4 linked regions of the Canis lupus familiaris genome follow. The protein of the gene in region 1 interacts with the protein of each later gene in a pairwise test. Links are inferred from orthologs where the notes say so. Each region holds a gene or a part of one and is shown on either strand. Other genes may lie near its edges.

Region 1 (5,144 bases):
GCGAGCCGATCCCTCCTCTTCCCTCCCCGAAGCGCAGTCCTCTGCACAGACACCGAAGCGATTACATAGTCTCTACCCCTGCGCGTCTCAGTCCACAAGCCTTCCACCTAAAAGAAGAGACGGGAGGACAAGAAAAAGTGCAATCAGACATCCCGGGCGCCTTCCTCCGAGTTCCCGCAGACTCCCCTCCTCCTACTCCATAGAGCCCCCATCGCTACCCTCGGCGCGCTCCTGCCCTCTCCCAGGCTGCTTAATCCTTCCTGGTTCCTCCGAGAAAAGCGAAGTTACTTTTCTTTCCCTGCAGAGCTGGAGCCGTCTTCGCGCAGAGAGGTTGCAGGGGCCCCTCGGGGATGAGCGCGCGGCGCGGGACGCAGTGGAACGGGAGGGGGCGTGCCGAGCAGCCCAGAGTGTGCCGGGAGCGCGGGGGAGGGGAGGTGCCGGGCACGTCAATGTCACGGCTTAATATTTATCCCTACATCATTGTGTTGCACTGCTACCCACCCCGCCCCCCCGGGCCTGGGCGTGCAGGGAGAGGGGCTCCGGGGTGCCGTGGGGCTTTCGGGGGTTGTGCCCAAGCTGCTGTGGAGGGGCTGTGGGTCCACCCGTGTGGGGCTGCCGAATGTGGGTGGGGGCTCCCGGGACCCTGTAACCCGATGCTGGGAGTGTGCGAGGAGGGGTGGTCAGACATCTGCTGGGAAATTGCTTCCTTTCTTTCTACTTTCAGTTTTTCTGCGAGGAGACATTTAAAAACGACTTGCACACACAAATGGTCTTTTTGGGGTAAAGAAGTCTGGACTGGAAACGAAATTCTTCCTCCGACTCGGAGGACCTCCCTGGTGGAAACCCATGAGGTCGGGGAGGGCTGGGGCTCCCGCTACTCGGGAGTGGAGGAGCGGTGGGGCCCCAGAGGGGGGAGTCGCCCAAAGGACCGTAAGGGTGGGAGGACGGGTTATTCGTCGCACTTTGGCTTGTCATCTCCTGAGAGAGTAACTGCGGGAGGAAGGTAGCGTAACCGCGACTCGCCCTGAAATCCTCAACTAATTTCAACCTCATCAAAACCCAACCTCCTCTTAAAAAGGTTGGGGGTGGGAGGAGTAAATGCCAAGCCTCGGGGGTGAGAGAGAAGGGGCTGCGCCCTGGGCGCCGGGACTCCGAACCTTTCCCCACTCCCTGGAACTTCTCCAGATCTTCTGGATCTGAAGTTGCAGAGGTGGCTGCTCCATTCCTCCCTCCGCTCGAGGCCTGGTCTCATCAGGCAGGGGCCAAACGCGCCCCCCGACCCCCCGACCCCGCTCGGGGCCCTCCGCACAACACAGTGCGGGGGTGGGGAGGCAGGGTAGGGACACGCTTTCCCCTCCCCATTCAGTCGTAATCCAGGGCCGCCGCGGCCTCGGCGGTACATTCGCCACGCCGGCCGCGTGTCTGGAATCCCCGGGACACCTCGGAATTACCTGCCCCGCACCGCCGGCCGCTCGCCTCCTGCCAGGAGTTAAACAAATGGCGCGATCCCCACGGCGTGCTGGCAGAGGGGACCGCAGCGAGCGCAGGGCCCCTCACACTCCATTCAAAGCTCTCCTTAAAAGGTAAAGGCGAGTCCCGGGGGAGAAAGGACTGAGCCCCCCAAGAGCCTGCGCGGGGGTCCGAGCCAGGCCTAGGGCCACACAGGTAGCCGCGGAGCCGCCGGCCGCGCCGCCCGCCCGCCCCTCCCGCATCCCCCTCCCCGCCGCAGTCCGACCGGAGGCTCAGCAGCTCCGGCAGCGCCGCGGACGTCCCACCCCCGCAGGGAGCTGCGCCCGCTGCCCCCGCCCGGCCCCGCACCGCCCGCCCAGGCTCCCCCCTCCCCCCCGCTCCCCGGACCGTCGGCTCCGGCGGAGAGAAACGGGAGCAACAGTGCCTTTTCCCCCCCTCTCCTCCACTTTTTTTTGTTGTTGTTGTTGCTTTCCCACGCTGGCTGAATGTGACTTGACCCCATTTCAAAAAAGTTTGACATAGTGCTTCAACATTTCCGCATTCCTCCGCGACTACAAAGGCTGCAGCCGCCTCCTTCTGCTTTCTGTCTCTGCTCTCTGTCTTCACACTCAATGAAATCCTTCATGTGCCTCTCCCGAAGCCTGCCAAGCACCGCAAGGGTCGCCACCAGCGCAGCGACAAGAGGCCGCACGGGGACCACGACTCCCGCGTGTGCGCACACGCAGATGAGCCCCACGTGCACACTGTGGGGCGCGCTGCGGGGCCCGGCGCTGCTCACCGCGGGGTGTGCGTTCTAACTCGGATACTGCAAATTAATAAAAGTAAACTGGGAAGCTAAACGCCAACGTGCGTCCTTGTGGGGCTCCAAGCCCGTGCACTGGCCGCCTGCGTGCACTCCTCTAAGTGTGCATAACACCCCCGCAGGGGAGGGGGTTCCAGCAAGAAGCCTGCGTTAACATTGATCTCGTGGTGGAGAAGGTGGAGGCCACACCCACACCTCCGCGAGCTGGAGAGTGAGCTCCGGTGGGGAAATGAACGTGGGGCACGGAAGCACAGTGTCCCGCATGGAGTCCCCCCCGAGGCAGTGCATTTTAAACTCTAAAGGGTAGATTATTCTTTGAGGGTCCGAGCGGAGTTTATATTCCGCTTTAAGGAGCCTGATGAGTGCGTGGGTGTTTGCGCGCACGGCTGTGTGGGAGCAGCACCGGATCTTAGTGTTGGGGGGTGTCCCTGGTATGGGATGTCCTTCCCTCGCCAGATTAGGAGAGAGTCCTCTAACTCCCCAGGACTGGTCCCCATCCCTAGCCCGCCTCGGGTCGTAAGGGGTTAACTACAGCCGATTCCGAAGACGTACACCCCCCACCACAGTCACCTCCACCCACACCCCCGCTTCCGACCCCGGCCAAGCTCCCGAATCTCCCCCGGGGACCCCCCACCCCGCAGCCCACCCACCCGACCGCACTGCTCCTCACCTGAGGGGCCCGGCCGCGTCGGGCCTCCGGGGAGGGCTGCGAGTGTCTGTGCGACCTCCGCACGTGTCCACCGCGCGCCGAGCAGGTAACCGGCTCGGAGGAAGGAGGTAGCGGCGCTCTCTCCCGCGAAGGGGTGGGCACAGCGGCGGAGGGCGGAGGGACGGCGGAGGCACGGCGGAGGGCGCCGCCCGCGCCGCACGCTGGGGGCGGCCGGGGGCTGCGGGGCGCGGGCCGGGGCTCGGGGCGAGCCGGGGCGGGGGCGCCCCCCCCCCCCCCAGGCCGACTCTGCCCGAGACCCACCCGGAGGCGGCGACGGGGCTAGGGGCTCGCTGCGCCGAGGCAAGCAAGTGTGCAAATTAAAGCCTTCCGGAGAGAGGGGAGGCGGCGAGCCCGGCTGTGCTCCGGGTCTCCACTCCCCAACGCTCGGCTCCGAGTGGGGGGCGGGAGGGCGGCGGGGGGGGGGGGCAGTTAAATGAAAATTTCCGGCTTTCGCTGCAACTGGAGCGAGGGATCTTGCAACTAAAATACGAGGCGTGAGAGGGAGAGTGGGACGTGTCGTCGGGAGTCCGCGGAGTTTCCAAACCCAGGGTCGCCGGGAGTTGGGGTTTTGACAGAGTGAGGCGGGGGGACCAGCAGGCTGTGATGTGGCCGGGTGGGAAAAACACAAAACAACCAACCATAATTATGAGGGGCCGGTGGGGGTGGGAAAGACCAACACTTTCCAAGAAACTGAAAAATCAGACCAAAAAAATAACTCTTCTCTATTTAAAAAAAAAAAAAAAAAAAAAGTCTGGCAGGGCGCCTTGCAGAAAAGAAAATACTAATCTGTCCAAGCACTTTTCACTTTCAGCATGAGCTACATTTGTTTTGTTTTCCTTCGCTTCCTTTCGGCCTCACAAAGCCCTATCTTTTCCTTTTGGACAGAGGATAGGATTTGGAAATTGTCAGGCACTCTGTGGTTAACGACGTACTTGAAGGGGCTCGCGGGTTCACAATTATTAAGTGGTTAGCAATTGCTAAGGGTTCACTAAGGTGTTTCTGGGGAGCTAAAAAGACTAAAATTTAATATAAATATCAGAACTGCAAGATAATGGATACACACACACACACACACCCCAAACAAAGAGAAGAGAACGTGATTCAGTGGGTGCTCAGTTTAAATGCATTATTGGAATTCTGAAATTTGAAACCTTGTAAGAATGTATACTTTACCTGCTGAGAAAACCTGAATACAATTATTGCAGGTGAAAATGAGATTTTTGACAAAAAAAAAAGCCCTCAAGACCCTGCAAAGGAGTAAATCCTCCCCCCAAAAAAGCTGTTTTTGTTTTTTTTTTTTTGTTTTTTTAAGAATCCAGTGTTCTCTAAAGTCTGTATCTGTAGAATACTTGAAACCCTTTTAAACATCTTAAAGCAAAGTTAAAACATTTATTTATTTCAGATCTCTAGAAGAACTGAAATCCAGCGAAATACTGTTTGAATTGGAAATATTAACCTCAATAAATTTTTTGACTTTTTGAATTAAACCATGTTGCCCAATGTCAGAGTAAATCAAAATTTCGCCCTTATAAAATTAATTCCAACTACAGTGTGAAGTAACAGGTTAGGCAAATTAAAATTTTTGCATTTTCATTAGGAAATATTTTATAATACATTATAGTAATTTGTTCTTGAATGATAAAAGTGGATATTTGTGTTTTTTTATGCTTAAGATAATTCATAAAATACATTTTGTGTTTAGAAGCATGTCTTCTAAAATTCAATTTCTGAACAAAATTTGTAAAGGTATCTATAAACTCATAAACCATATAGACTTAAGAAAACAAATTTAGATTTTGTATTTATGAAAAATATTGGTTCAGTACAAATCACTAATTAGACTTTAAACCAGAGATGCAAATGAGACTCTTACATTTTTTATAATTGCTACATTTATCAATGATTTTTAAAACAAGATTTACTTGCTGGTGATTTACACATTTATGTAATTTAGAAATAATTGTCAATAAATAGTCATAGGAACCAGCAAATGACTGCAAGAATTTATTTGGGTAAATAATTTGTTTAAAAAATAGTAAGCCATAAATGTCTTTAAAATTAACAGAAAAGTGTCTTTTCTACACTGGGTTGCATTTTTAACTACTGAATTTGACAACAACCAAAGATAGATTTGAGATTCCATGATTTAGATCACTAGATCAC
Region 2 (5,315 bases), on another chromosome or scaffold:
ATATTCTGGACTGAATCCATTTGCTACCACATCTACCAATATCAGTCTGATGACTCAGCCCCTCAGAATGATTACCAAAGAACCAAGGCCATCCATTTCAAAACTCTGACTTCCCACTTCCCATATTTCCTCCTCATTCTCTCATTCTACCAACACACCTGTAATCCCCAATACACGGTGAATGGGGACTGTCCCCAAAGACTGGTCATAAACAGCTCATCTATGCTTTTCAAACACAAGTAGACTTCTAGCCAGACCAAGGAATGGAGCCACTATCAACAAATAAGGGGGCTTTTCTTATTCAGATAAGAGTGAACGTCCAAATAAGAGGGAAAGATAGAGAAATCAAGAAACTGAAAACTAAGAAATGGGGATGGGGCAAGAGAGAGGGGGAAAATGGTTATTAATGCTGCCTCCTTCCCTTCCCTATCCGGGTGGATTTCAACTCTGTCTCAGTTAGTAGCTCTTCACTCCTAACCACCACTTCCATAGGCTCCTCTGTCTTTAAAGAGCTTAGGTCCAAGCTAAGGTATGCTAGAAGAAACATGTGAAATAAACTCTCATTTATGAGTAAGCAAGCAATTGCCCTTCCTTAAAGACTCTTCCTCTGCACTCTGAACCAAAATTAATCTTGTAAATAAGAACTGCTCCATGTTGGAAGAAGCTCAGTCTAACGTAGCTCCTCACCAAAACTTTCAGGCAACAGATACATAACTTGTGGTTCTTTTCCTATTTCAATCAAACATCAGCTGTAATTTCTTAAAATCTTTAAAGCAATGCATATGTTAATTCAAACTCACCTAAGCAGATTGGGAAGAAAAGCAATTGGCCTTTAAATCTTCAGAAGAGGGTTTAATGACAGGTTCAGCCCGTTTAATGACAGGCCCAGCACCACACCCCTGTTTTATTATGTTTCATTATTACTGCATAAATTTCCTTTATTACTCATCATAAATAAAAACCAAATGCTTGCAAAGTGGGTTTAAATAGGTAAGAGTGCAAACAAAAATATTATTCAAACATCATGAAATTGGAATCTCAGATTCTTAAAATACATATTCATATTTTTTAAATGTCTCAAAAACACCAGCTTGCCATTGTCAATCTCAAACTAGGTTTTTGGGGGGTTTTGTGTGTGTGCGCGCGCGCGCGCGCGTGTGTACCCATTATTCAAAGATGAAAAGAATAAAAAGCACATTCAAACAGGATTCTCAGGATTTTTCACCGTGACTGATTTTTGACTGATTCAGCTAAGAAGACACACCCAAAAGAAATTTGCTAAGGTTGATGCAAGATGTGAAGCTAGAGAAGTTCAAGTACTGCCTGGGGATGAATTTAACCTGCGTGACAGGTGCAAAGCTGTCACTTTCAGAAATCTTGAGGGAGACAAAGTTATTTTAAAAGCCTTTCTCTTAGCCAGCCATTCGATCACACAAGAGAGAGACTAACGTCTCTCCGGCGTGAAAGCAGCCGGCACGGGGCTCAAGGAACAGAAACCCTCTGCTCCGCCTGCTGGAGGGAGGGGATTAGGAACTGAGCGCGTTGCTTCAACTTTTCCAAAACCTTAGCTGAGGCCTTGCAGGACGCTCGGCGGGCGGGACTGCAGGCTGCGGGCGCCCCGAGTCCGGCGCATGCGTCCCAGCGCCGTCCGCGCCGCCCTCCCCGCCCCCCCCCCCCCCCGCCCCCCCCGCCCCCCCCCGCCCCCCGCCCCGCCGCCCGGACTCCGTCGGCTGTGACGTCACTGCGGGCCGAGCCTCCCCGCCCGCGCAGTGGGACGCGCCCGCGCAGGCCGGCCGGGCCGGGGGCGGAGCCTAAGGGGGTGGGGAGTGCCCTGCCCGGCCCGGCCGCCCGGCCGCAGACGGGTTCAGTCCGTGCGGGCTCTCCGCCTAGCCGGAGCCACGCTGGGCGGTGTGGACGCGGCGACGCGCCTGCCCTCGGCGGCCGGACGCGCCCTGCGCTCGGCTGCGGCCACCCGAGGCGCTTCGTCCCGGGAGCGAGCCCGGGAAAGCCTATTCACCACGAGGGGCTCGGCCATTGCCCGGGCCCCCAAGCCGCGGAGGACGGCGGAAGAGGGCTGAAAGCTGACCTGAGCTCTCCTCCCGAGGGGAGAGGGCGCCGGGACGAGGAGGGGAAACAGGGAGGCGAGTGACGAAGCTCCGCTCACGGCCCGCGGTGGATCCTCCCGGCCCGTCCGCGTCTGCGGGCTGCGAGATGCGCGAGGAGGCCACGGGCTTGCTCGGCGGCGGCGGCGGCGGGGACGGCGGCGGGGACGGCGGCGGGGACGGCGGCGACGCGGGCCTGGCCAGCGCCTCGGCGCAGGGGCAGGCGGAGACCGTGCGGCAGCTCCTGGAAGCCGGCGCGGATCCCAACGGAGTCAACAGCTTCGGCAGGCGCCCGATCCAGGTAGCTGGGGCCCCGGGGCCTCGCCGGCAGGGGGCGCAGGAACGCAGGGGAGCGGCCTCCGTGGGACGCGACGGGGACCGAGAGCTTCGCCGACGTATCTGCGTGTCTCCTCCGTGAGGCCGTGGGGCCCAGGTGTCGCGCAGGTTCTCCCCCACCGACGATCCTAAAGAAAGGGATCGGAAAAAACAAACAAACAAACAAACAACAAACGCTACTTAAGTTTGGTTTTCTTTGCAGCGGTGGGGAAATGTCCATACTCTCTCTCCCGTCCCGTGATCACAAGTGCAAGGGATAGATTCAGTTGGGGGAAGAGGAGAGGTTGTTTGGGGAGGAAAACTCTCGACTCTCTTTCAATAAATATCGATCAACTTTCATTGATAAGAGATGATTAAACGGCAAGTTACACAATCCGAATTAGATTTAAGGAATAATGCGGAATCGTTGAACTTGAATTACCTGCACTGGGAGGCTGCGATATGAAACTCTTCGTATTCTTTTCTCATAGAGGCAAAATGAATACAAAGAGATAAGCCAGGATTCCTCGACCACAGTACTTAATTCCTTTTACGTTAGCAGTGTTCATTGTTAACACCCTTTATCCAATGTTTATTAATCCAGCTTTAATTAGTACTGATATTTTTTAATTCCCTTAAAATTCAAAGTAATATTTTGTGCCTTATTGTTGACTATAGTGGTTAGTATTCATCTCGATGTCACATTCTAGAACCAATCTGTTATTAAGGAACCCTATTAATCGTGTAGGTTTTAAAAGAAAATATGTTCATTCCTTTTGCATTCTTAGAAAAGTGTTATAAGACTTGAGGGATAGCTTAGGGGCATCTGGGTGGTTAAGTCCCTTAAGCGTCTGCCTTGGGCTCAGGTCATGAGCCCTTCCCTGGTCCTGGAGTTGAGCCCAGCATCAGGCTCCAGGCTCTACAGGGCGGCTGCTTTTCCCTCTCCCTCTGTCCCTCCTCCCTTGTGGGTGCTCTCACAAATAAATAAGTGGATAAAATCTTTTAAAAAGAGTGAAAGAGGGCAGCCCGAGTGGCTCTGCGGTTTAGCGTCGCCTTCGGCCCAGGGCCTGATCCTGGAGACCTGGAATCGAGTCCCACGGTGCGCTCCCTGCATGGAGCCTGCTTCTCCCTCTGCCTGTGTCTCCGCCTTTCTGTGTCTCTCATGAATAAATAAATAAAATCTTTTTAAAAAAATAAATAAAAAAGAGAAAGAAATGAGGGATAATTTAAGATTTCAAATGATATTAATAACTAAAAAGAAATTTTAATTATAGTTTTAATTCATTTTCTGAGATTCTAAGAACCACTTTTTTCCCCTCTACATATGAAATACCTTACATACATCACTAATAGAAATAACATATCATATCTTTAAGGGAGGAAATGGATGTTTTTAATATTCATGAAACAAATAGTATACTATCTTTCAATTACGTAGTACATCTTAAAATACTTAAACTCACAAGAAAAACTCCATTTTGGATATTTAGTTATCAAAAACTGTTTTATTTTTAAAATGAGAAAGTAAATACTTGTATAAAATGCATATACAAAAGTAGATGCTACAGAAGTACAGCTCCAGAACATTTTTTTCTAAGTTATACATTACTCTGATTTGACTGACAACCAAGTTCTTTTATACATAGCAAATTATTTACTATCTAACATTATAAAATCCTATGACATTATAAAATCCTGAATAATGTAAATATACTGTTTATGTTACATGTTTATGTTACATTAAATATATTATCCTTTAAACTTTATCCCTTGCCAGGGCACCTGGATGGCTCAGTGGTTGGGCCTCTGATCCGGGTCCTGGAATCACATCCTGCATCCGGCTCCCCCGCAGAGAGCCTCTGCTTCTCCCTCTGCCTTTGTCTCTGCCTCTCTCTGTTTCTCTTGAATAAATAAATAATCTTAAAAAAAAAACTTTATCCCTTAAAATATTAAACATGTTATAATGTTAACTTAAAATATTAAAAATGATAAGCCATTTGTTAAAAAAATAACTTCATTATCTTATAAGACTAGATATGACTTTTTTCCTTTTTCCCCCTCTATATCCAATTTGGACTCAAAATTGTCTGACTATATTCAATTTATAAGCACAGATATATATGAGAGTGAAAAGTAAAAGCCTCCAACAGGGAATTTATTAAAAGAAATAAAAAACTCAAAGCACTATTTCTCCTCTAACGCCTCTCTTAAAAATATCAACTGCCTAATAAATATTTTTAGAGCTAGATTATGGCTGAGGTGGGAGAGCCACCAAGAGAAATAATCTTAAGATTTTAAAAGCTTTTAAACTTAACTCCCCCCATAAATCATTTAACAAAATAGATGCCCATGTTCCAAGGGAAACCAAAAATTTCTTTTTCGCACAACGACTCTTAGCGCTTTCTATCAGCGCTTTCTCGTCTCCGCGTGTTTGGAGAATAAGATGGAACTCAGAGCCGAATAAGGAGTATAACTGGGGCGGGGGCGGGGGCGGGGCGAGGGCGAGGGTGAGGGTGAGGGTGAGGGGTGTTGGGACTGCATCAACAAAGTATAACGGACTCCTGAGGCTTGTAGCGCCTCTGTGTTAGGTGGATACTTCCTGAATAGGTATTTCTTTGAAATGGTCCACCTGTCCCTGCCCAGGCCTGCATCCCGCTGCCCTGACCACTGCCGCCCTGACCACTCTGCTCTCCCGGCAGGTCATGATGATGGGCAGCACCCGCGTGGCCCAGCTGCTGCTGCTCCACGGCGCCGACCCCAACTGTGCCGACCCCGCCACCCTCACCCGCCCTGTGCACGACGCGGCCCGGGAGGGCTTCCTGGACACGCTGGTGGTGCTGCACCGAGCCGGGGCGCGGCTGGACGTGCGCGATGCCTGGGGCCGCCTGCCCGTGGACC
Region 3 (5,054 bases), on another chromosome or scaffold:
CCGCCCCACCCTCGTTTAAAGGGGCTGGCCTCGGGGCCCGAGTTAATCGCTAGCACCTCTGGTTTATTCACTCCCCGCCTTCCCTATTCCACTCCCCCCGCTCCTTTCAGGGAACCGAGTGTACAGCTCACCCAGCCCCCCCTCCCCGCCAGCTCTCCACACCCCGGTTCGGGCCCCCGGCCTCCGCGAAGGAGGCGCTCGGTTGACCACGGTGTGTCCCGAGCCCTGACCCACGCCATGCTCCCTGCACGTGCCAGCTCCGCCAACTTGCCGGGGGCGCTGGGCTCTCTCCCCTTCCCCCCCAAGTGAAATTACACTGAAACCCGGGGGAGGGGGGCGGGGGGGGAGGAAGAAGGTGAGGAAACGCCACCATATCCCCTGTAAAAGCAGCCTTGACCCGGGGATGCGTTAGAGCACATGTCGGAGCCGACTGCGCTGGCAGCGTCCCCACCGCAACCCGGCTCCCGGGGAGAAAGCCCTGGCTGGCGGGTGAGGCATGAACCCGGAGGGGTCGGCGAGGATGCCAGCGGAGGACACAGGATGGAAGTCTCGGGCCTCCGAGGAAAGGAAGGGGTGGTGTTGTTTGCGCAGGGGGAGAGAGGGGGAGCCAAACCTAATCCCTCCCTCGCCCCCCTCTCCTCCCCTCCCCCTCCCGGGCTATTTCCTAGAAAGCTGTATCAGTGTGGCCACGCTCGGCGCAGACACCTCGGGCGGCTTGTCAGCAGATGCAGGGGCGAGGAAGCGGGTTTTTCCTGCGTGGCCGCGGGCCGCGGAAGAACCGATGGTAGCCCTGCCCCCCCCCCCCCAGCCTGCGGCAGCCCAGACCTCTTCTCTCCTGCTCCCCGTGGCGCCTGTAGCGCCCCCAAGAAGGGGAGGGTTTCTGCTTCAGGGTCACATTCTATCACGTCGGAGAAGCCGCCCCCTCCCTCCTAACACCCACCCCTTCCTCTCCTTCCTCTTCGCACACACAGGCGGGGTGGGGTGGGGGGGCGTTGTTCTGGCCCCTTTAATCGGGCTTTTGAAACAGCCCGAAGTGATCCAGGAGCTCAAACGTCCGGGACAGAATCTTTATCTCTGGATATCCGAGGTTGCTATTTTCTAAAATCGCCCTCCTTATTCTTCACTTAAGGGATCTGCTTATAAATTGCAGGAGCCCACCCCATCTTCAAGTGATCCACTCGTCATTCTCGGATCTTACATGCATGGGCAGGAATGGAAAGGTCAATTTTGAGAAAGCCAAAGTTGGAGGGTCGTACTTGGCACGATACGCCCACAGAATGTGCGAAATTAGAGGGAATAAGTAGGAATCGGTGGGGTTTTTTTGTGGGTTCCCCTATTCGGGGCCCCTGGCATGCAGGGCTGGATAGAGGGAAAGGGCCTCGGAGAGCTAAGGAGAGGGGTGGGGGGGCGGGGGACCGCGTTTGAAGTTAGGTCGGGCCAGCTGCTGTTCTCCTAAATAACAAGAGGGGAAAGGGAGGGAGGGACGGAGAGATTGAAAGGAGGAGGGGAGGGACGAGAGGGGAGGGAAGGGGAGGAGGAACCGGAGAGGGGAGCGAGGCGAGAGGGAGGAGAACTAACTGCCCAGCCAGTTTGCGTCACTGCCTCGCAGAGCAGAGAAGAGCGAGCAGGGGAGAGCGAGACAAGTTTGAAGGGGAGGGCAGGCAGAGTTAGCAGCCCCCGAGGCTCTCCTCTCCCAGCGCCCTTCCCTCTCCTCTCTTCTCCCCAGCCTCTGTCTCTCTCTGCCCCATAACTTTTCTCTCGAAAACCCCCTATTTAGCCAAAGGAAGGAGGTAAGGGGAACCCTCTCCCCTCCCCCCTTCAAAACCCCCCAACTTTTCCAGTCCGGAGAAAGCAGGGGAGCGAGCGGGTACCCGACTGGCCATGGAGCTGCTGTGCTGCGAGGTGGACCCGGTCCGCAGGGCCGTGCCGGACGCCAACCTGCTCTACGACGACCGCGTTTTGCAGAACTTGCTCACCATCGAGGAGCGCTACCTTCCCCAGTGCTCCTACTTCAAATGCGTGCAGAAGGACATCCAGCCCTACATGCGCAGGATGGTGGCCACCTGGATGCTGGAGGTAGGTCTGCAGACGGACTCCGTCTGTCCCCATCCGGATAGACGCCCACGCTCCCCACCCCCGCCCCCAGCGCAGGGACCCTAAAACTGGGAGATGGCAGGATCCGCGCTCGCCTCCGCACTCCCGCGCGCGAGGTTACCCCTCGCCCTTTGGCGAGACGCGTGGCTTCATTTCTGTTCCCTGCAGGATGCTAGAAGAACTGGGGGAGGGGAGGGGGGGAGGAGGAAAATCTGGGAGAAACGAGACTGTCCTGGGGCGGGGGTGGGGGAGCATCCCGCGCGCGTGTGCCTGCATGTGGCTGCCTCTTCTTCCCACCCCCATCCTGATCTGTCTTTTGCGAAGCTGCGGCTGCTTTCGGTGCAGTGAAGCTGGGAGTGGGAGCGTGGAATCGGGGCCCCAAAGTAAAAAAGAGCAGCCCCCCAAAGGCCAGAGCAAAATCGTCCTAGCCTCAGGTCCCCGCATGTGGTTGCGACTCCGCGTTGGCACTTGGGGGGGGGGGGGGGGAGGAGGGGGGGAGGAGAGAGGAGGAGAGAAACGGAGAATTCAGGAGCCCCGGAAGTCGCAATGAAGAAACGTGTGTTTTAGGGGAACCCAAAAGAACCACTTCTTTACCCTTGCTCCAAATCTTTGCCGAGCGAGCCGTGTGCCCACGTATGCACGGCTCTGGACCTGCCGTGGTTTCGCCATGTTGCTTTGCAAACTCCGGCTGGAAAGGCTGGAAAGCGTTGCCCGCTCGCCCCCCGCACCCCGTTAGCCCGGCCCCCCCACTTGCAATAGTACCCTCTCCCCCAGCCCCCACCTCACGAAGGTTACTTACAGTTTGGCTTTCCAGTTTTCTCGGTGCGGAGATTTGGGTGGGGTAGGAAGGGGGGAGGAGGTGTGTGTAGGGGGGATGTCGGGGCGCCCCCAACGGAGAGGTCAGAGCCCCGGGTGCTCTCCGGCGGCGCCCCGCTCCTCGCCTTTCCCCCGGCTCCTCACCACGGTCCCCGGTTTCTGCCCTTGCGGGCCGCAGCCGGACGGACACTCCCGCCGCGGCGCTCACCCCTCCAACTTTCCCCTCGGGATCCAAAGCCCCAGGGGTTGAGATACAGACCTTTCCGGCACCCGAAATCTCCGTTTCGGGAAGCCTGGTTCCTCTGTGGGGTTTTCACGCCAAAAGGGCTTTTCTAGGATATTTCCTCGATTTTTAATTATTTTTTGAAACCGTCTCCCCAGGCTCCGAGTCCGCCGCCGAGGCTGCGGCTCTTCCTCTTCTCCTCCCTCCCCCTCTCTTCCCCACCTCTCCCCACCCACCCCCCCAATAGCGGCGCCTGGGCCGCAAGGACGCCCCCGGACATTTTTTTCAATTGTCGGGAATGATAGAGCAGGGTCCGGGGCTCCGAATGAGACCAAGAAGAAGACCCCCGGAGCCTCCAGAATATTTTTATTGATTTTTTGAAAAGATGACGAAATCCAAAAAAGAGAGTGTGAGTGAGTTAGAGGGAGCAAAGAAGTCAGTAGCCAAAGGGAGCGTCGCCGAGCCTGGCGGCTACTGCGCATTTGTTTGCCTCCTCGGTTCGGATCTTCAGTTCAACTCTCTCTTACGTTCCTGGGGAGTACCCCAGCACCGACCATTTAGATTTACCCCGTTTTCCTCATCTTTATTCTTATCACATAGTCTACTCCCCTCCCCCTCCCCGCTGAAAAATTAAATATTTTTGCTTCTTTCCATAGGTTATGCCTTTTCATTTCTTTTTTTGTGTATGTGTGTTTTCCTGATATTCTTCCCTCCAACCACCCCCACCCAACCCATTCCCGCTCCCATCTTAGGTCTGTGAGGAACAGAAGTGCGAAGAGGAGGTCTTCCCTTTGGCCATGAATTACCTGGATCGCTTCTTGGCCGGGGTCCCAACTCCTAAGACCCATCTGCAGCTCCTGGGTGCTGTCTGCATGTTCCTGGCCTCCAAACTTAAAGAGACTATCCCTCTGACCGCAGAGAAGTTGTGCATTTACACTGACAACTCCATCAAGCCTCAGGAGCTGCTGGTAATGACAATCTCCTTTCTATTCCTCCTTCCTTCTTTGCTCTCTCCAGGCCTGGCGAGCTTCTACCTCCTGCTCCCCAAACAAATCCTTTGGATCCCAAATTACCACACTGCTGGAATTTTCACACTTCCCGGAAATAACGCTTTAAATACAAATTTTTTTTGTGTGTGTTCCTACTGTGTGCCAGGCACTATACTAAGCACTGAGGCTACATCCAGGAATAAGATACCCAGATACCCCAAGACATTTGTTGTGTCGGTGAAATTCAATTACAGTTGTGCCTGTGTGTGTGTGTGTGTGTGTGTTTGTGTGTGTATGTGTGTGTAGGGGAAACCTGGAACACAGTGATAACATTTTAATTAAATTCAAATTTTCATCCACTGAATTCTAAGAAAATAGTTCGACTTCTCACATGGTAGGAATGTGCCCACATGATAGGAGTGTGTTGTCCTGTGTGTCCTAAGAATCTACAGTTCAAAGGTAACATCAATGGATAAACTCTCAAGATACCTGTACATAGTAGCTGTTAACTAAATATCAGCTCATTGACTTTGGAGCCGAGTCAAAATTTGGCCTTTTTATTGGAGGAATCTGAAGCCTGGGTTCCTAGCTCCAGCGGGGCTGTGACCTCTTTGCCATGACAAGGGTCCTGTCTTGACTGGTTTTCTGGCAACAAACCTTTTTCCCACCCGGTCTTAACTCTTTTTCCCTGCAGCTTCGCACTTAAAGGCGTGTCCGTGTTACGGCAGTGTGGTTTGGGAGAGTGGCACCCAGGCCCACCAGGAGTGGTGTGCGCACCTTTCTCTGCGCTCTTTGGAAAGGGGCCCCCCTCTAGCTGCCCCTCCCCCTCCGGACTGGCAAGGCCTGCCCGAAGTGAAGTCCGTAGGGCCAGGGCTGGCTGCTAGAACGGAGCTCTTTGTGAGAGGCCTTCCTTTCTGGGGCTGGGCTGCCAT
Region 4 (3,193 bases), on another chromosome or scaffold:
CCGCAGGCAGTCCTGCAAACACGGGGGTGGAGGTGGGGGTAGGGGATGGTAAGGAGTGACTGCTGGGTAGGATGGCAGAAGGTCCCCTTTGGGACTGAGGGCTCACTTCCCACCCCCACAGCATCTGGCCACAGGTGTGGAGGAAGGACACCTTCCAGCACACAGGGAAGTCTGGGGAGGTTAAGCCACAGCCCAGCCCCAGGAATCAGCCTTTAGTTCTAAGAAACTGGCAAGAGGATGTGGCAAGGGGGTGTGAGAGCAGCCCTGCATGTGACAGCAGATCCTCCACCCCACCCCTGCACACCATTTGGCAGGAAAAGGGCACCCAGGGACAGTGCCCTTCAGCCCACCCAAGTCACCTGCTCTTCTCCAGACCAAGGCAGGAGATAAAAGGCCACAGAAGCCCCAAGGGCGGGGCACCTGAAACCAGGAGCAGGGACTAGGTTAGGGATGCATGCCTCCCTCTGCTGGAGGCTCCGGGAATAGCACTGCTTCAGGAACTGCTCACAGGCTGCAGCCCAGGGGCCCCACACTCACCACCTCAGTGCCTGTGATCCCTGCCAGCAGCTCCGTCAGCTCATCCCCAGATGTGGAACAAGCACCCAGGCCTTGCACTGCAGCCCCAATGCTGCCTGTGGCGATCATGGATGGCGGGTACATGGCAAAGGTGTAATCTTGGAAGGAGGGAGAGGGAATCATGAGAGAAAGGCTTAGCGTGGACTTCCTATTGCTCAGAAAGTGCCAGGCAGCTGGAATAGAGCAGGGGGCATACTGAGAACTCCCTGCAGTGAGCTCTGGAGGAGCAGCAAGGGAGAGAGGCAGGAAAGGGCCTCTCCTAGAGAGGGCCAGGGTGGACCACAAACTTCCACAGGTCCTCAGGCCCAGGGTGGTTGGGAAGTGAGCCAAGCCAGGGACCGAGGAGTGAATGAGTCTTCCTGGCAAGAAAATAAAACCAGGGTCAGAAAGCCCTCGGTTCTGCTCCCAGCTTAATCACTGTGAGACCGTGAGCAAGTCCTTTCTCTAAGCCACCTACATAATGGGGGGTCTGTCAAATCCCATACAACTCTGATTATGTTCTGCTGCCTTTTCTGCACCCCCTCATCTCAGAGGGGATATTTTGAGAAGAGTCTAACCCAAATTTTGAAAGGAATCTAACTCAAAATCTAGTTACATGCCACCCTTCCAAGTCCTTGGATTTTCTTCACTTGCCAAAAGTGTGCGGGGCTCTTACCTGTGGCACAGAGGGCCAAAAAGGTCTGGGCATGTTTTTTGACCAGGGCTTGTCGGTCCTGGGGCAGAGAGAGCCGGTGCAGAATCAGAGCCAGGAAATCATGGGCAATCACAGCTGCCAGGTCCCACTTGAGCTTCCCCAGGACCAGCACCTCCCAGTCCTAGAGGTTGGGAAAGAGGGTGGCGTCAGTGGCTGAGGAGGGAAGGGAAGGGAGTAAAGCAGAAGTCTCACGGAAGGAAACCCACCAGACTTGAAGGTCAAGCCCCCAGTTCTGCTTCTGGATTTAAAGACTGGTGCTGTGACATGAGGAGTCCAGAGCACAGAAAAACTGGGGGTGTCTGCTTTGGGCATCTACTGCTTATTTACAAAGTATCAGAACTACACATTTGATATAAACTGTCCTTTTCAATCCCGTTTGGTTATCTTCCGGGGGCCAACAATCCAGGTCTTCTCCTGACTTCACACAGAGCTCTGGGCACTTCTCCAGCCAGAGTTGAAAATAAAAACCACCAGCAGCATCATCACCTTGAGCCTCCTCTGGGGTGAAGCAGAAAGACTCTTCGTAATCCCAAGGATTTGTGAAAGGGGAGACCATAGCCTCTCCAGTTCTGCATCCCTGCCAAGGCCACACCCCTTGAAGAAACCGGAATGAACATGAGGCCCCACCTCCTGTGACACAGCCACTGAACCAAGCCTGAGGTTCCTCAAAGGGGGAGGTTGCCCAACCCAACCCACATCCCGTTGGTGGGACACTGGGGGTGGGCCTGAGATGTAGCACCCCACTCCACCCCCTTTACCTGGAACCATAGTGGCTAGTGTCATTTAAGTCTCAGGAAGCAAAGTGGATGCCAAGCCAGACAGGATGGGTCCAGATGATCCCTGAGGGACCAAACTCTATCTCCAATGGCTCATGGCCCACACCTACATAGCACTGCTAGGTCCTGGAGGGAGGCTAGGAGCCCCACCCCAATCCACGCATCTGGGGTTCCTAGTCCTGGCCCCTTTTCTGAGTTAACACATATGAGGATTTCTTCATTGTTTTATCTCAGGAAGGAACTCATGGGTTTGGCCCCTTACTGAGGCAGAATGGCAACCCCGCCCCGCTTCTTCCAGGTCCCTAGTCACAGCTGTCCCTCTCTTGGCCCCCACCTAGGTGTCATCTTCCCAAATCAGCCCCAAGCCCCTCACAGGGCCCTACAGAAAAGAGCCTGGCCTGGAGCCAAAAGAAGTTGGACAGAGAAGCCAGCATTCTAGTCATGCTTGTCCCAGTGCCTCAACTTGTAAGAAGTGAACAGAAAGCACCTTGCCTCCAAAGAAACATCTGGAAGGCAACCTGGAGTGGAGGCATGGGGTCCCATGTGAGGAAAGGTAGCCACCCAACCCTGTGTCCAGGCAACTCCTGAAAATCTTAGCCCTCACCTGGTGGAGGACATACCCCTGGGAGCGATTAGCGGCAGTGGCTGGCGGCTTCCACATCTGTAGGCTTTAAGGCCACCGGGGCTAGCCTAGAGGACCCGGAGGCTCCTCATGTGCCTCAGTGCAATGCTTCCCTCCTCTGGGCCTCAACCTCCTCTGCTAAACAAGGATTTGGACTGACTAGAGTTCTCTGCAGTCCCTTCCAACTCTGACCTTCCAGGAAGGCATCTGCACACTCCACCCCCCAGCTCACGCAGAGGGAGTGGAGGAAGAGTCCTTGTGGCCTGTTCTAAAAAAACTCCCCTCGCACAAAGGCACACACACCATGCCAGTCTTTTCACAAAAAGGAAGTCCCCTTCTACCTTCCAGCCCAAACCCTCCAAAAACATCTTGCTCACTGGCCCTGGAAACCGGCTCCACCTTCAGACTTGCCAAAAACTACCAGATTCATCACAAAGAGCTGTGGGGCCTCCCGGAGTTCCCAACTCTGGCCTCCTACTCCCATCTCTGAGAGCTACTTGGCAGGAAGAGGAATCCTGTTCCTCG

What was found.
Region 2: the proteins of CDK6 (region 1) and CDKN2B interact in binary tests that used the Homo sapiens proteins (3 or more experiments, as listed by UniProt). The link is inferred for Canis lupus familiaris from reciprocal best matches to the Homo sapiens genes CDK6 and CDKN2B.
Region 3: the proteins of CDK6 (region 1) and CCND2 interact in a two-hybrid assay, tested with the Homo sapiens proteins (2 studies listed by BioGRID, with this or other methods). The link is inferred for Canis lupus familiaris from reciprocal best matches to the Homo sapiens genes CDK6 and CCND2.
Region 4: the proteins of CDK6 (region 1) and CCND3 interact in binary tests that used the Homo sapiens proteins (3 or more experiments, as listed by UniProt). The link is inferred for Canis lupus familiaris from reciprocal best matches to the Homo sapiens genes CDK6 and CCND3.

What each region holds. Positions count from the first base shown.
Region 1 is NC_049235.1:18,374,566-18,379,709, forward strand, and holds the start of CDK6 (cyclin-dependent kinase 6), read right to left. Parts: upstream 3,095-5,144; 5' UTR 2,943-3,094; intron 2,310-2,942; exon of another isoform or gene 1,983-2,309; intron 1,703-1,982; exon of another isoform or gene 1,494-1,702; coding exon of another isoform or gene 1,367-1,493; exon of another isoform or gene 1,004-1,366; coding exon of another isoform or gene 351-1,003; exon of another isoform or gene 108-350; 5' UTR 1-107. Other genes in the region: uncharacterized protein LOC102152579, read left to right, coding at 351-1,003, 1,367-1,493. UniProt on the Homo sapiens protein: Serine/threonine-protein kinase involved in the control of the cell cycle and differentiation; promotes G1/S transition. Phosphorylates pRB/RB1 and NPM1.
Region 2 is NC_049232.1:41,374,954-41,380,268, reverse strand, and holds the start of CDKN2B (cyclin-dependent kinase 4 inhibitor B), read left to right. Parts: upstream 1-2,211; coding exon 2,212-2,237; intron 2,238-2,273; coding exon 2,274-2,403; intron 2,404-3,902; exon of another isoform or gene 3,903-5,116; coding exon 5,117-5,315. UniProt on the Homo sapiens protein: Interacts strongly with CDK4 and CDK6. Potent inhibitor. Potential effector of TGF-beta induced cell cycle arrest.
Region 3 is NC_049248.1:5,498,065-5,503,118, forward strand, and holds the start of CCND2 (G1/S-specific cyclin-D2), read left to right. Parts: upstream 1-1,570; 5' UTR 1,571-1,881; coding exon 1,882-2,076; intron 2,077-3,885; coding exon 3,886-4,101; intron 4,102-5,054. UniProt on the Homo sapiens protein: Regulatory component of the cyclin D2-CDK4 (DC) complex that phosphorylates and inhibits members of the retinoblastoma (RB) protein family including RB1 and regulates the cell-cycle during G(1)/S transition.
Region 4 is NC_049233.1:10,783,654-10,786,846, forward strand, and holds part of CCND3 (G1/S-specific cyclin-D3), read right to left. Parts: intron 1,392-3,193; coding exon 1,232-1,391; intron 675-1,231; coding exon 538-674; intron 13-537; coding exon 1-12. UniProt on the Homo sapiens protein: Regulatory component of the cyclin D3-CDK4 (DC) complex that phosphorylates and inhibits members of the retinoblastoma (RB) protein family including RB1 and regulates the cell-cycle during G(1)/S transition.